Coturnix japonica: one gene and its partner. The protein of the gene in region 1 interacts with the protein of each later gene in a biochemical or structural test. Links are inferred from orthologs where the notes say so. Each region holds a gene or a part of one and is shown on either strand. Other genes may lie near its edges.

Region 1 (6,594 bases):
CTGCCAGTAAGAATGACTGGAGATCGACTGTTCCAACACATACTCAAGCAGAACAAGCCTTCAGCAGAGACCACTCCCAGATAGTGGAAAGGGAATCTGGAATTAGAAAAGGAAAACAAACAAGAGGTTGAGACCTACAGAGGTGTTGAACAGCTCTGGCTTGGCAGAAGGAAAGCATCCCGCTAGTTACAGATTGAAGAATGCAACCAATCCAACCACACTCTCCTCCTATGTGTTCTTTAGAGTTCACCAAATCTAAGGTGAGAACTGTAGCAAACACAGCCCAAAAATATGCATTTAGAATGGGGAATGGATTAGAGATGGCACATACGCACCTCCACAAGTGTTTTGTCAGGATGAATCCTCTGCCTGGTTCTCACTGTTTTTCTTTCCCTTCCTATTTAAGCCTACAATTTAACAAATCCCTTCTCTCCTAAAATATTCTGTAGCTTCAGGAGCAGCAAAAGCCACGGAAGTCTCAGAAGTCTCAGCTGACCACAGAATAGCTCAGGGCCAAAGAAAATGACTGTGGGAAACCAGTTTTCCCACTGGCACATCACCATCAAAGAAGAACTGGCATTTTTCAGCTAGCTGCATTAGTGTCAAGGGATCGCCCTCCCAGCAACACAAAGATGTCAGCTGCTCACAGAGCGGTATCCTCACATTTGTCCTGGCACAAAGAGGAAGTCTGCCCTTTAGATACTGTAACTAAGACAAATGGAATGTGATCAGGAGCAGTTAGAGCCACTAGTAACCTCTCTTGTTAGAGTAACGCTGAAAAATACATTCAGCTCTTCCCATATGTGTCAGGGGATGCAGTCTGCTCTTCAAGTCAGATACATTCTGCTTCCTGTCAGAAGAACAAGCCACCCCATTTAGAAGCTATTTCTGACTTCATACAGTTGTGACAAGCAAGAAATACATAATAAGAATATAATCAGAGGTGATCAGGATCATAAGGAAGCAGCAAGGCTGCTGTACCAATACTTGGTTAACACTCAGTAAAAAACTGAGAACTCTTAGATTGGGATAGTGAGCAAAGACTATTTGGCTTCACAGGGAAGTCCTATAACAGCAAGTCAGGTGAAGAGCTGAACTTCCTCACATCATGACCATCTCATCCTCAGTTCCTCACTGAGGTCATCGCTCTGCATTTTAATATCATATTGCAGTCCCACATGACAGTGGTTTTCTTAGAGTAAATACACTTACACCCACAGAAAGTCACCGTTCAACAGCACAACAGTGAGCAAATCCAGAGCTTAACCACAGCTGAATTCTTCAGAGTTTTAGCTATCAGCAAAAGCACTTTTAGAAGCAGATCTTCCAGTTACAGATTAAACACGGTTGCACTGCACGCAGTATGTAATTAGTCAAGCCAGAACATCTCACAGCTGTTGTTATAAAGTTCCCCCAGACTGGCTGTCCTCTCACATCCTGCTCTTGACCTTCATCTTCTCCCTTCCCCCAGGCAGATAAAGGGGCACTGCATTACTGGCTAAGCACTGAACATCAACAGCATTTTCCTGTACACGCATGTAAAACACCCAAAGAATCACTGCACCTATGAGAGCCCACTCTCAAAACACTGCCCTGTACACAACAGATCAAGCTTCATAATCACACAAGTTCCACTATATCAAATTAACAGAAACAAAAAACACTCCCACAGATGTGAAGGAGTACAAAAGCAATGCAGCAATGATTCTATAGCAGGTGTTACTTGCAGAATGCAGCCACAATATACAGGACGCTGCTCTCAAGAGATACAAGTATTTTGTAATATACGTGAAGCAGCTGGAGTGAAATACAAAACTAAACAACCTTGAAACTTACAGTATTTCACAAAATCCTTCTGAAAATCTTTCCTGGAATCAACAAAGGCTCTTCCCCTCTCAGTTCCAACCACAAAAACGTCTGTTTCATAGACAGCAATGCAGGCAACTTCTGCCTTGGACTTGGCAAGTTCTTTACACTATGAAAAGACAAAGAGAAAAGCATTCATCATCCCTGTTAAACGTATACAGTAATAAGATGTATGTGGAATCACTTAAAGCAGTTACTACTCCTGCTGCCAGCATCCACTCCTCAAAAGATATCATGAGTTACATAATGTCAGTCATTAGCAAAGGACAGTTTATGTATCTGGAATTCTTTTGATGAGAAACCTTAAAAGCACTGTAGGTGCATTAGTGAAATTAAGCTCTCATCTAGACTGAGGAATTGAACTGCTTTTAATTAAAATGATTTATTCAGTCTATCCTTCGGAAATTATCACTTCAATTAGATTCCAATTAGATAATCGTGTTGTCCTAGCTAGAATTAGTACAGGAGTTTTATCCTTCCACAGCACACTTAACACAAATAGTGCTCTGTTTGGAGAACAGAGCTGGAAGCAGGAAGGCTTCCTGTACAGACACAAGAGCTCTCCAGAGGGAGGTAAGGTATTGCTATAGCACTGCAGCCACTAACCATGGACTCCAGAGCTGAGACAAGGAAGGTGACAACCATCCTGCTTTCAGACGGGTCTTCATCACGCACGGATGATGCTGCTACTGTAGCTTGGGCCATTCTCTTCCTGGAAAATCAAATATAAAGCCAGTTCAGATACAAGCAACAGAGCAGGAATATCCACCTACAGATTCACATGCTCAAAAACCCAGAATACCCTCATATGAACAAATATGCAGGTACAGCAACAGTATAAATCGCTCACTGTTCTGTTCTTCCATACCTCCTGCTGCTTGAAAGTTAAAATGCTGTGCCACGTCTAGACAAAACACCTAGAGAGATGCATATCAATTGATTAGCTGCATTTACACTGACTTCTCTTTCTGTGTATGTTCATATCTGCAATAGCCTGAAGAGGCACAGCAGAAGAAGACTTGTATTAATAGAACGACAAACCTGTTCTGACATCGGTGTTAGAGTGACGTGCCCTGTAACTCTCAGCACAAGTTCATTAGGGGTTGAGCTGTCTGAGTGCAAGCCAAATTCCTCAGCAGCCTCACACAGCTCCAAAGCAGCTAACCCAGCACAAACACTAAAACCACTCGTACTGTGCAGATGGGAAGGCTCGTAACCAAGAACCCCAAAACACAGCTGCTGCAAGCGTGCCTGCACTCAGCCTTGCACATTGCCAAAGATCCGCTGCTCCCAAGGGAAAACAGCCCAGCAGGGGATTTCTATAACAAATACCATTCTAACTGAGCACTTGTTGCCTTACCAAGCTGGAAGAAGAAGGAACATGGATTTACAATGAATGCTCTATCTAGAAGCCAGACTGCTGCCTGGCTGTTACCAGTCTCACCCCTTGGCTGCTCTGCCTTCAAGGCCAAGACACGTTTAATTCCACCCAAACATCAGCCTTCAGACCAAGGACAGAAAGAACCGGATCAGAACAGCACAGATTAGAACTCACAGCTGTTAAACACAAGCAAATCTTGTTAAAGATCCATTACTGGCTCAAAGCAGAAGAAAGCTCTATTTTTCTTCCCCAAGTTTGATTTAGAAAACATTAATCTTGATATGATTTAGCTAATAAAGCACAGGAACCCTGCTGGGATGCAGGCACACCTGTGATGCTAAGGAAGATGCATTTTACCTCTGCTACTACCGAAAACCATTTAAAGAGATGAAACAACCCAAACATTGGCTACTTTAAGAGCATCTCTGACTCCTTTCATCCTCTAGTCTGCTAGTAAAGCAATATTTAACCCAAATCTCACTATTTCCAGACCCAAATAGGCTGATATATACTCACAAAGCCTTAGACACAATGAAAACCACATCCAGCGGCACTGCTCACAAGGCAGGCATACAAATAGAGCAGCATTACCCACAGAGCAGCAATGAAGCTGTCAGCACGGAGCTCCATCACTGCACTGCAGTCAGACAGCGTGGTTCTGTCGGCGATATGGCGGCGATACAGCACGGAGATCGCAATGCAAAGGGGCTCAACCACGAGGCCCAGGCAGGTTAATTACAATTAGCGGTCGGACCACCCCCCCCCCCCCACCAACACGGCCCTATCGCAGGAGCACACTAGGCCTCACCCCTAATTTATTAGCATACAAATCACGCCCATCTCCTCCCTCATCCAATCGCGGCCAGGCTGTGGGGGCTGAGCGGAACAGTGTTGGAAGCGGCCCCTTTTCCCGCAGCCTCTCGGTGCTGGGATGGGCCCAAAGACCCGCCGCCCTCTTTGCGGTCTCTGGGCTCAATACAGCGCCTCACCGAGGGAGCTTTGTATTCATCGATGCACCATTGCGCATGCGCGCTCTTCGCGGGGGCTGCTGGGATATGTAGTCCGCCCGCCGTGCGGCCGCGGCTCAATGCCTGAGGCGGAGAACTACATCTCCCAGCGTGCACCGCGCGGGGGGGTGCTAACCCAACGCGTGGGCCTTGGAGGGGTGTTCTGCCTTAGGGGGGTGTCCGCCATTTTGTGCCCTGCTGCTCCATGGAGCAGGACAGACGTTGTCATTACAAACCAATGGACAGACGTTGTCATTACAAACCAATGGACAGATGCTGTCATTACAAATCAATGGACTACACATCTTCAGGGCTTCCCCAGCACAGTGCCTGATCCCTTAGTATTCATCCAACACAGGACCCAAGTGAACAGGACCAGTTTGGGTTCAACATAGACCAGCACCAAGAGATATGACCAAGGGATATGACCAAGGGACCACTGCCTCCTCCACACAATCTACCTGCATTCCTCTTTGCTCTTCCGTCCTCAGAGCTGTGTGTCTGCAGTCAAGCACATGCAATGCCTTCCTGTGGTGCTCACCCAGACCCCAGCTGCCTTCAGGAGGTTCTTGTCCATGATGAGCTTTGCCAGCTTCAGAATGCTCAGCAGTTCATGCTTATGAGCTTCTCCAGCCTCCCTATGAGCCCACACAAACATTCCATAGCACTCTTTGGAGTTATGAGCCCATAGCACTCTTTGGAGTTGGCTGTTTCCTGATCCTTGAGGAGGGAGCATCCATCCATCCATCCATCCATCCATCCATCCATCCATCCATCCATCCATCCATCCATCCATCCAATTTTGCCAATAATAAAATGGCAAAGCCATGGTGTGGGTCCAGAGGGAGCCACAAGGATGCTCATAGGGCTGGAGCATCTCTCCTGTAGAGCAAAGCTGTGGGCATTCAGCCTGGAGGAGACCCCACATCATAACCCCTTCCACATGCAGTGTTAACCCCTAACCCAGCAAAACCAACTTAACATTTCCCTGCATTTTCTTTTCCCAAAGTGTTTTCTTGCAAATGGGCTCTGAATGCAGCACAGATGCTGTTTATGCTGCTCTCTAAGCATCTCCGTGCACTATATTTTTAAGAAATGATTTGAATCAAAGCGCTCATTCTTTAATTAAACTTCATTTAGCTGCCATCTGCCTGGGATCAAAATGGCTTCATGTTTTGCAACTCTTAATGAGGATTGTTATTGGATTTGTAAACACGGAGACAACAAGAAGAAGGAAAAAAAAAACCAAAAAAACCCACCGAACTCTTTGAAAAGTAATAAATGAGGAATATGGCTCAAGTGTTAAGATCTCCATCTTCTAATTGTGACTGAGCGCATCCCATTCAGCAGAAAATCACACTGCACACAAAAACTGGGTATAAAAATACCCTGAGCTAAAGGACCAAGAGGGAAGATGCAGAATTACAGCAGAGGGAAAGCAGCAATAATCTGGAGATCTGGAGTTTAAGGGAGGAGGGTCAGAGGGGTTACTGCACCTGGATTTGGGTCCAGAATGACCTTCATGCATCCAACTTGGGGAAATAAGGCAGCCAAGAGCAGGCACAGCCCTGCTGGCTCCCCCTCACCTCCATTTTTCCCCACTTCTCCAGCCCTCATGAATGCACTCAGCTCTCTAAACAGTCCCCAGTGCAGCTCAGTGCTCTGATTTGGCTCAGTGCTGGGATCCCTGCCTGCCTGTTGCTCATTACCCAGCCTCAGTGCCGCCCTCAGTGTTCCAGAACCAGGCCTTTACATTGCAAAAACTAAGAGAAGTCAAGATATAATGAAGGTGCCCTCCCAGGAGACACCTCCTCGGGGTGGTTTGATCTGTGAGCGAGCCCCTTTCAGACGTTTTAAAAGAGAGAAACTGTATTATTATTATTATTTTTTTTTTTTACCTCTGAAGCATTTGTCTTTGTTTCCTAATTGGAGATGCCGTGGGGTTTCAGCACCAGGCAGAAACATGAAAGGCTTCAGATTCTGATGCCAACTGATCAGATGTCAAACTGCACGTCTAATTGGGGTCATGGGTACAGATCTTTGCCCTTCTTCCAGCTGCCAGCCTCGTGCCTTCTGCTGCATTTGTTTAGGCTTTTATTATCTCGTGCCATCATTTGCATCCAACTCCACAGCAAGCTGAGAACAAGGAAATAAAACTGTGGCTGTTTGAAACAGCTTCGCCTGCGCTCAGAACCCTCTGCCAGCATGGAGATGGATTTGTGCACATCCTTAAAGCCAACAGAGCAGCATGTTACACTCAGAAAAGCCATTGTGAGTGACTTTGATGCCTGTGACCAATGCCACCTCTGCCTGAAGGTGGCAGCTGCAAGCAGGAATGTG
Region 2 (6,361 bases), on another chromosome or scaffold:
CTGCCATTTCCTCCTGCTCTCAGCGACTTCTGAAGATGATTGAACTGCTCTGGAGCAGGTTTGTGGGATGGCAAAATACCTCAGACAATGCTGTAGGAATAAGTAGGAGGTGAGTGCCCCCTCTCCCCAGGCTCACGCTAGCACAGGGATGGTACAAATGATGCAAGCAGGGGAATAGCCTTATGACTTTGCTCGTCATGGGAGCACTTTCTGATAGAGCTCTCTCCTCCGCAGATATGGGATATCGTAACCACGAGGCAGCAAGCCCCCGGAAACCCAGCGCTCTGAGTCACACCGCATGTGCAGCCAGGTGCCCCAAAACTCACCGCTCTTCAGCTGATGGATCCAGCGTTTGCGCAGCTCCTCTGTCGGGGAGAAGACATAGAGGGGCCCCTCGTCATACACCACCTGTAGTACACCAACGTGCTCAGCACCAGGCCATGGCTCATGGGGGGAAATAGGAGAGCAGAGGCTTGCAGCCACCCGGAGCAAAAGCCGTGCCGTTGTGTGCTGGCCCCGTGGTGCTCATGGAACCATGACAGAGACGTTATAAATAAGCCCCTTCCCCTGAGACTTTCCACTTCCTTCTCTAACTTTCATTGTGCTGGGTGCCAGTGAGCACGAGCAACTGGGCTGGGGGCTGAGTGAGCAAAGAGCATCCATCCCTCCAGGACTGGCCAGGGGACCAAAAATGGCAGGACAAAGCTCAGGGCCAGCATCCATCTCCTTTTCCAGAGAGCCGCCCGATTCCTCACTGCCCATGAAGGCTCATCAGCCTGCCCCACACAGCAGCAGGGTGTCCCCAAAATGATGCTGTGCTTATCCTCATGTCCCCCTGCTCTTCTCACCCCTGCTGCAATGCCAGCTCCTACCCTGCAGCCAGCTGAAGCAGAAAGGTGAAGTGAGCACGATGAGAACTAACCTGAAAGGGGTAGGGGAACCGCTCAATGATGGAGATCTGCTCCATGTTGTAATCCTCCCCTTTCCTCTGGAAGAGAGAGGGAAAGATGGACACTGACATCCTGCAGCTCAGCTGCTCCCACAGCCCTTGCCTTTCTCCTGCCCCGTGCTCTGTGTTGGGCTGGACATCAGTATAGTTTGGACTGTGTGCACAGAGCTCCATACCAGACAGCACTGCCCCAAAGAGAGTACAGGGGACAGCAGCAGGGACGCTCACCGGGACCTGCCGCTCAGGAGGAGGATTGTTTTCGGGCACCACCGTCTCCACACAGGTGATCTTCTCAATGTCCACCGAGCCCTTCTTGCTGCCTCGACGCTGCAAGAGACAAGACTGGTTTGAATGATCCCCAAAGCGGGGACCCGGGGACATCCTCATCCCCATGCTTTGTGCTGGTGTGGGGCCAGCAGCCCCACAGACTCACCCCACGCTCAAAGTCATACTCGTAGTAGGACAGCTTGCTCTCTGTCAGCAGGAACAGGCGCTTCTTGAAGTTGAGGGGAGATGTTTTCTTCTTCTGCTGCGAGCGCTTCAAGAAGATGCTCTCCAGGATGATGCTGGCCATGTTGGCTACCCCAACTGCTTCCTCGCCGTGCTCCCCGGGTTGCTGTGTGCAGGGTGACACTGACACAGCTCTTGCTCAGCCCAACACCTGCCTGCAGCCGGACCTCGCACACATACAGGGTATTTATGGAGTGACTTCTCCCTGGTTACTTCCCCCTTGAAATGCCATGGTGAGGACCAAGCTGCCACCCTACAGGCTCCAGCTCCAGCTGGGTGCTAGTGGCTAGATGGGAGGGAGCTGGGGAGGCCGTGAGAAACACCGCCTCAGGGAGGAGCATGGAGGCCAAGCTGTGACACCCAGCACCCTCCCTCCTCCTCTCGGCACTGCTGTGTTTGTGTGGGCTGTTTCCTCCCACTGAGCTGCCTGGGCTCTGCCTTGCAAATGGGACAGCTGTGGGGGCAGGTCCACAAAAAAGCCCCAAATGCTTGCAGTGCTGTGCTGACAACAGCCAACAGCAGCTCTAGAACCATCCTTCCCCACTCTGCAGGCAGACAGTGCTGAACTCCTTTCCCCATATGAGCCAGGCTCAAAGTGTTTCCTTTAGCCAGCACTCAGGTGCTTAAATCCTCCTGCGGCCCCCACCAGCACAGCTTCTGACCCTCTGCAGGAACGGGTCTGGTTGTCTGTAGCACCCTGTGGCTGAAGGTGTGAGGTGCTCCCACGGAGGGCTGTAACCAGCTCCTGGTCTCACTGCTGAGCCACATGGAGCCACTACTGATCCACACCTCCCATTACCTTCTCTGTGCTTCCTATCCCTTCACCTCAGGTTTGTTCTCTTTTCCCTGGAATAGTGGGGTCAAGCTCCCCGCTGCACATCTGTGTAGCCCATCTGCTCACCACAGGGACCACAGGGGGACCAAAGGTATTCTACGTGGTTCTGCCCGCTGTGCCTCTCCCATGGCATGCCCAGCAGGGGGGCAGAAGCAGGGTATCCCTCCCATCTTCTCCAATGTCCAGACCCCCACCACAGACCTTGTAGCAGCAAAGCCGCCCTATGTGCCTACAAACAACGGGGCTCCCCCTGTCCTCCCACTGTGGGCCCCATTGCTTAGGGTTCTTTGGGTGGTTTAAAAATAAGAACAGCTTAAAAATAATGGGTTATGTGAAGAACCAGCAGTCTCTGTCTGATCCAGGGATGAGGGCTGAGAGAACTGGGGACATGGCAGGTGGCTGCAGTGGCCACTGACCCACAGGATGCAGGGACCCTTACCTTGTGTAGCAGCAACTACATCACCCCCAGCAGCAGTGGGCAGAATGGACAGGTCACTATCCCAGAGGATGCAGTGAGGACACTAGGGAGAAAAGGACGGTGAGTGTCACAGAGGGATGCTCTGATCCAGCACAGTGCTGTCTCTCCCTGTCCCCAGCACAGCCTCCCCATCTCTGCACTAGCACATTTCTCCCCAGCTGCCCCTTTCTGCCAGTTGTGCAACAGGGGTGAGGAAGGGGTCGATGTGTGCAGGGCCACCAGACCCCATCCCCGTGCTGGTGGCTGCCTGGCCATACTCCCCTCCCCAGGCAGCCATCACTGCCTCATTGTGGCAGCAGAGGTGGCGAGTGGGTGAGCGGAGACATCCCCCCCAGATAATGTGACTTCCTGCCGCTGTCACACCTCGGACACGAGTGCAAGGAGGGAGGGGAGCTGCCACAGGCAACCCTGCACAATCAGTGCAGGACTGGAGCAGGGATTCAGTGTGCAAAGGCACTGCCAGCACCCCACCCCCTGCTCCACTGCACTCCAGCACTCACACATCACCCCCACTCCTTGCTCCGTGCTGCCCCAGTGCCACCAGCACCCAGCCAGCACCCCGACAGGCAGTTCCAGCACACTGTAGCACCCACAGACCACCCCATCCCCCTATTCTGGCACAGCCCCATGGCCACCCAGGGCCCTGCGCCCCACATCCTCGTGGCAGCAGGATGGATGCCGCCAGCTCAGTGTGCATCCAAGCCTCACGGCCCAGATGGGGCTGCTCGGTATGGCACACCACAGCCAGCACCTGAGATACCTCCCCCATCCCCAGCACCGCAAACAGCGGAGATGTGAGGCCACGAGCCCTCGTGCTGCCCACGTCACATCTCTTCCTGCCACACGCCCCTGGGGCGCAGCCCACCCTGTGTGCCCCGCACTCACCGGGCCCTCCCGGCCGCCCCAACGGCTGCGCCCGCTGCTCCACGCCTGCCCCGAGCGGCCCAGGGCAGCTGTAGGGACACGGCGCGGGGCCCGCAATGGGGTCTGCCGTGCAGGGAGGAAGAACGGGGCCGGCCAACCCCACCCTTTCAGTTCCCCTTTTCTGAGTTTCTGACTCAAAGCAGCAGCTGCGTTTCCTCCTGGAGATGGCCGGGGCCACCTTCACAGTGCCGCCAACAGGACCGGCTGTGGGGACATGGAGCCGGGGGCACAGTGCAGGAGCAGGGGGTGGGAGAAGGGCTGGGGTGTGAGCTCCAGGCCTGGTGCTGGGCAGTGCGGCTGGGAAATGGGCTGCACACTGTGCATGAAGGGCACGAGGGCTTCCCCTGCACCCCGTGTCCCTGCGTAGCCCTGCACAGCCCCATGTCGCTGTGCACCCATGTCCCTATTACACCCACCATGTCCCTATTACACCACCAGGGCCCCTGGCCCCACACCTACGTGCCCCGACCTCCTTCCCTCCATCCTCCATCCTCCTTCCCTCCATCCTCCATCCTCCATCCTCCATCCTCCTCCCTCCTCCCTCCCCCTCCCCTCCATTCCCCGTCCTCCCCTCCACAAGGGGGCGCTGCGCTCCCCGCTCCTCCTCTCTATGATCCCCTCACGTCTTTTTCCGCTTCCGGCTCGCTCCTTCTCTTCCGGTCACCAGCGGCAAGATGGTGAGCGTTGTTGGTGTGCTGTTGCGGGTTTGCCTTTATCCGCCTCCATCCGTCTCCGCGGCGGCTCGTTCCGCCGCTCCGAGGCGCTGGGCGATGCGGGGAGCTGCTCGGACAGCGGGCGGGCCGGGCCTGGGAAGCGGCGGAGGCCGTAAGCGCGGGGCGGCGGCGCGGGGCCTGTGCTGTGGTGGGGAGAGGGGCGGGAAGGCCGGGCCGCGCTCCGCAGCACCGGGGCGGGATGGCGGCTGTGCGGCCTGTGGCTGCGCTGACTGCGCTGACTGAGGTCTGTCTGCTCCTCCAGGTGAACGTCCCGAAAACCCGCCGGACCTACTGCAAGAAGTGTGGCAAGCACCAGCCGCACAAAGTCACCCAGTACAAGAAGGGCAAGGACTCCCTCTATGCCCAGGGTAAGGGTGGGGGTGCGGTGGGCAGGGGGCAGAGCCCGGGGGGGTGGTTGATGCCGAGGCGCTGCCAGCTGTGCTTGTAGCGTATCAGAGCTGCTGTCTAAACGTTCCTGTTTCTTCGTGCAGGGAAGAGGCGCTACACGAGGAAGCAGAGCGGCTATGGAGGCCAGACGAAGCCTATCTTCCGTAAGAAGGTGAGCGCTGCTCCCATAACTCCTGCTTGGAACATCTGCTCTCCACACATCATCCTGGAGGGGACACTTCTGTCTCTGTGCTGTGTTCAGTCCGCACTGTGGCAGCTCCATGCAGGTAGAACTGTCCAGAGAGTGCAAGAACACAAGTTCCCATCCCAGGCTGCTCCTCGTTCCCTATTAGGTCACTGCTTTCTTACAGTGCAGTGATGCAGCATGGGGGCTGAAATCTGCCCTGTTACAGCAGGGAAGCAAAACCTGACAGGCATTTGCTGGAGCAGCTTTCCTGCTCTGTTATTGATCTCTGCAGGAGACCAGCTCTGCCCCAGTCAGTCCTTTCACCGGAGTTCTTTAAAACATGAGTAGGCAAAGGAGCAGATTCACTCTTTACCAGTCTTTAAGATACTTTTCTGTGTTTAATGGAGCAAGTCAGCTGTGTTTAATTTCTTCCTATGTTCTGAGAACAAGCTGATGAATGTTGTAAGGGTGGAGATAAGAGGCTTTTCCTGAGAGCAGCATTTTATTCATTTTTGGACACTGCTCATTGCTCTTCCCCCCTCCTCAGGCCAAGACCACAAAGAAGATTGTGCTGAGGCTGGAGTGTGTGGAGCCCAACTGCAGGTCCAAGAGGATGCTGGCCATTAAGAGATGCAAGCACTTTGAACTGGGAGGAGACAAGAAGAGAAAGGTATGTGTGTGTGTACCAAGACTGGCTGGTGATGGAAGCATCATCTGCATGTGGCCTTGGGGGGAAGGGGGAAATACTGCCAGCATCACAGGCTGAGCCCTCCCTAAGTGCTGAGTGAGGCTCTGTATCAAGGGGAGGATTATCAGCAGCATGCAACAGCCTGCCTGGAGTGGCAGCAGAAGGGACAGACAGACAGCAGGCTATGTGCTACCATTGGGAGAGGGCAAGATTCAGGGGTGAATAAACTCACACTCATCTCTTCCTTCTTATAGGGCCAGGTGATACAGTTCTAAGCTGCATCCTACTCATTTTTGGACCATATTAAAGTGTTTGGAAGTGATCTGTTAACTTGCTTTTGTGTGTTCTGTGCTGCTGGTGGGGTGAGACGTGCAAGTACATTAACCCAACAGATGTTCCTTGCTCTAAGAGGTGTATAATAGAGCATCGAATCCACTGTACTGAGTGTTGCTTCTGGTTGGTAATTGTGGTTAAGCGTCTCTGTCCTGTACCAGGAGGACCTTTAAGCTAAAGGCTGCTGCCACTGGAGAAAGAAAGCAGTTATTTGTGGAAGGGAGCTCACTAAGGAAGCCAATCCCCATTGGCCCCATAAAGGGTGGAATGGGGGGACTGTTGTCTAAAGGGACAACCACTGATGAAAGGAAGACTTGTGAGCGAGGAAAAACTCTCCAAGCTCAGCTTGAAGGCATC

What was found. The genes of interacting proteins can lie anywhere in the genome.
Region 2: the proteins of GTF2I (region 1) and BTK form a complex in vitro, tested with the Homo sapiens proteins (4 studies listed by BioGRID and IntAct, with this or other methods). The link is inferred for Coturnix japonica from reciprocal best matches to the Homo sapiens genes GTF2I and BTK.

Annotation. Positions count from the first base shown.
Region 1 is NC_029534.1:1,907,917-1,914,510, forward strand, and holds the start of GTF2I (general transcription factor II-I), read right to left. Parts: upstream 4,038-6,594; 5' UTR 3,878-4,037; coding exon 3,843-3,877; exon of another isoform or gene 3,764-3,842; intron 3,716-3,763; exon of another isoform or gene 2,735-3,715; intron 2,579-2,734; coding exon 2,473-2,578; intron 1,976-2,472; coding exon 1,837-1,975; intron 1-1,836. UniProt on the Homo sapiens protein: Interacts with the basal transcription machinery by coordinating the formation of a multiprotein complex at the C-FOS promoter, and linking specific signal responsive activator complexes.
Region 2 is NC_029519.1:1,974,117-1,980,477, reverse strand, and holds the start of BTK (tyrosine-protein kinase BTK), read right to left. Parts: upstream 4,192-6,361; 5' UTR 3,658-4,191; intron 2,816-3,657; 5' UTR 2,734-2,815; intron 1,627-2,733; exon of another isoform or gene 1,566-1,626; 5' UTR 1,524-1,565; coding exon 1,383-1,523; intron 1,277-1,382; coding exon 1,178-1,276; intron 989-1,177; coding exon 923-988; intron 409-922; coding exon 327-408; intron 1-326. Other genes in the region: RPL36A (60S ribosomal protein L36a), read left to right, coding at 4,371-4,373, 4,672-4,777, 4,901-4,968, 5,531-5,749. UniProt on the Homo sapiens protein: Non-receptor tyrosine kinase indispensable for B lymphocyte development, differentiation and signaling. Binding of antigen to the B-cell antigen receptor (BCR) triggers signaling that ultimately leads to B-cell activation.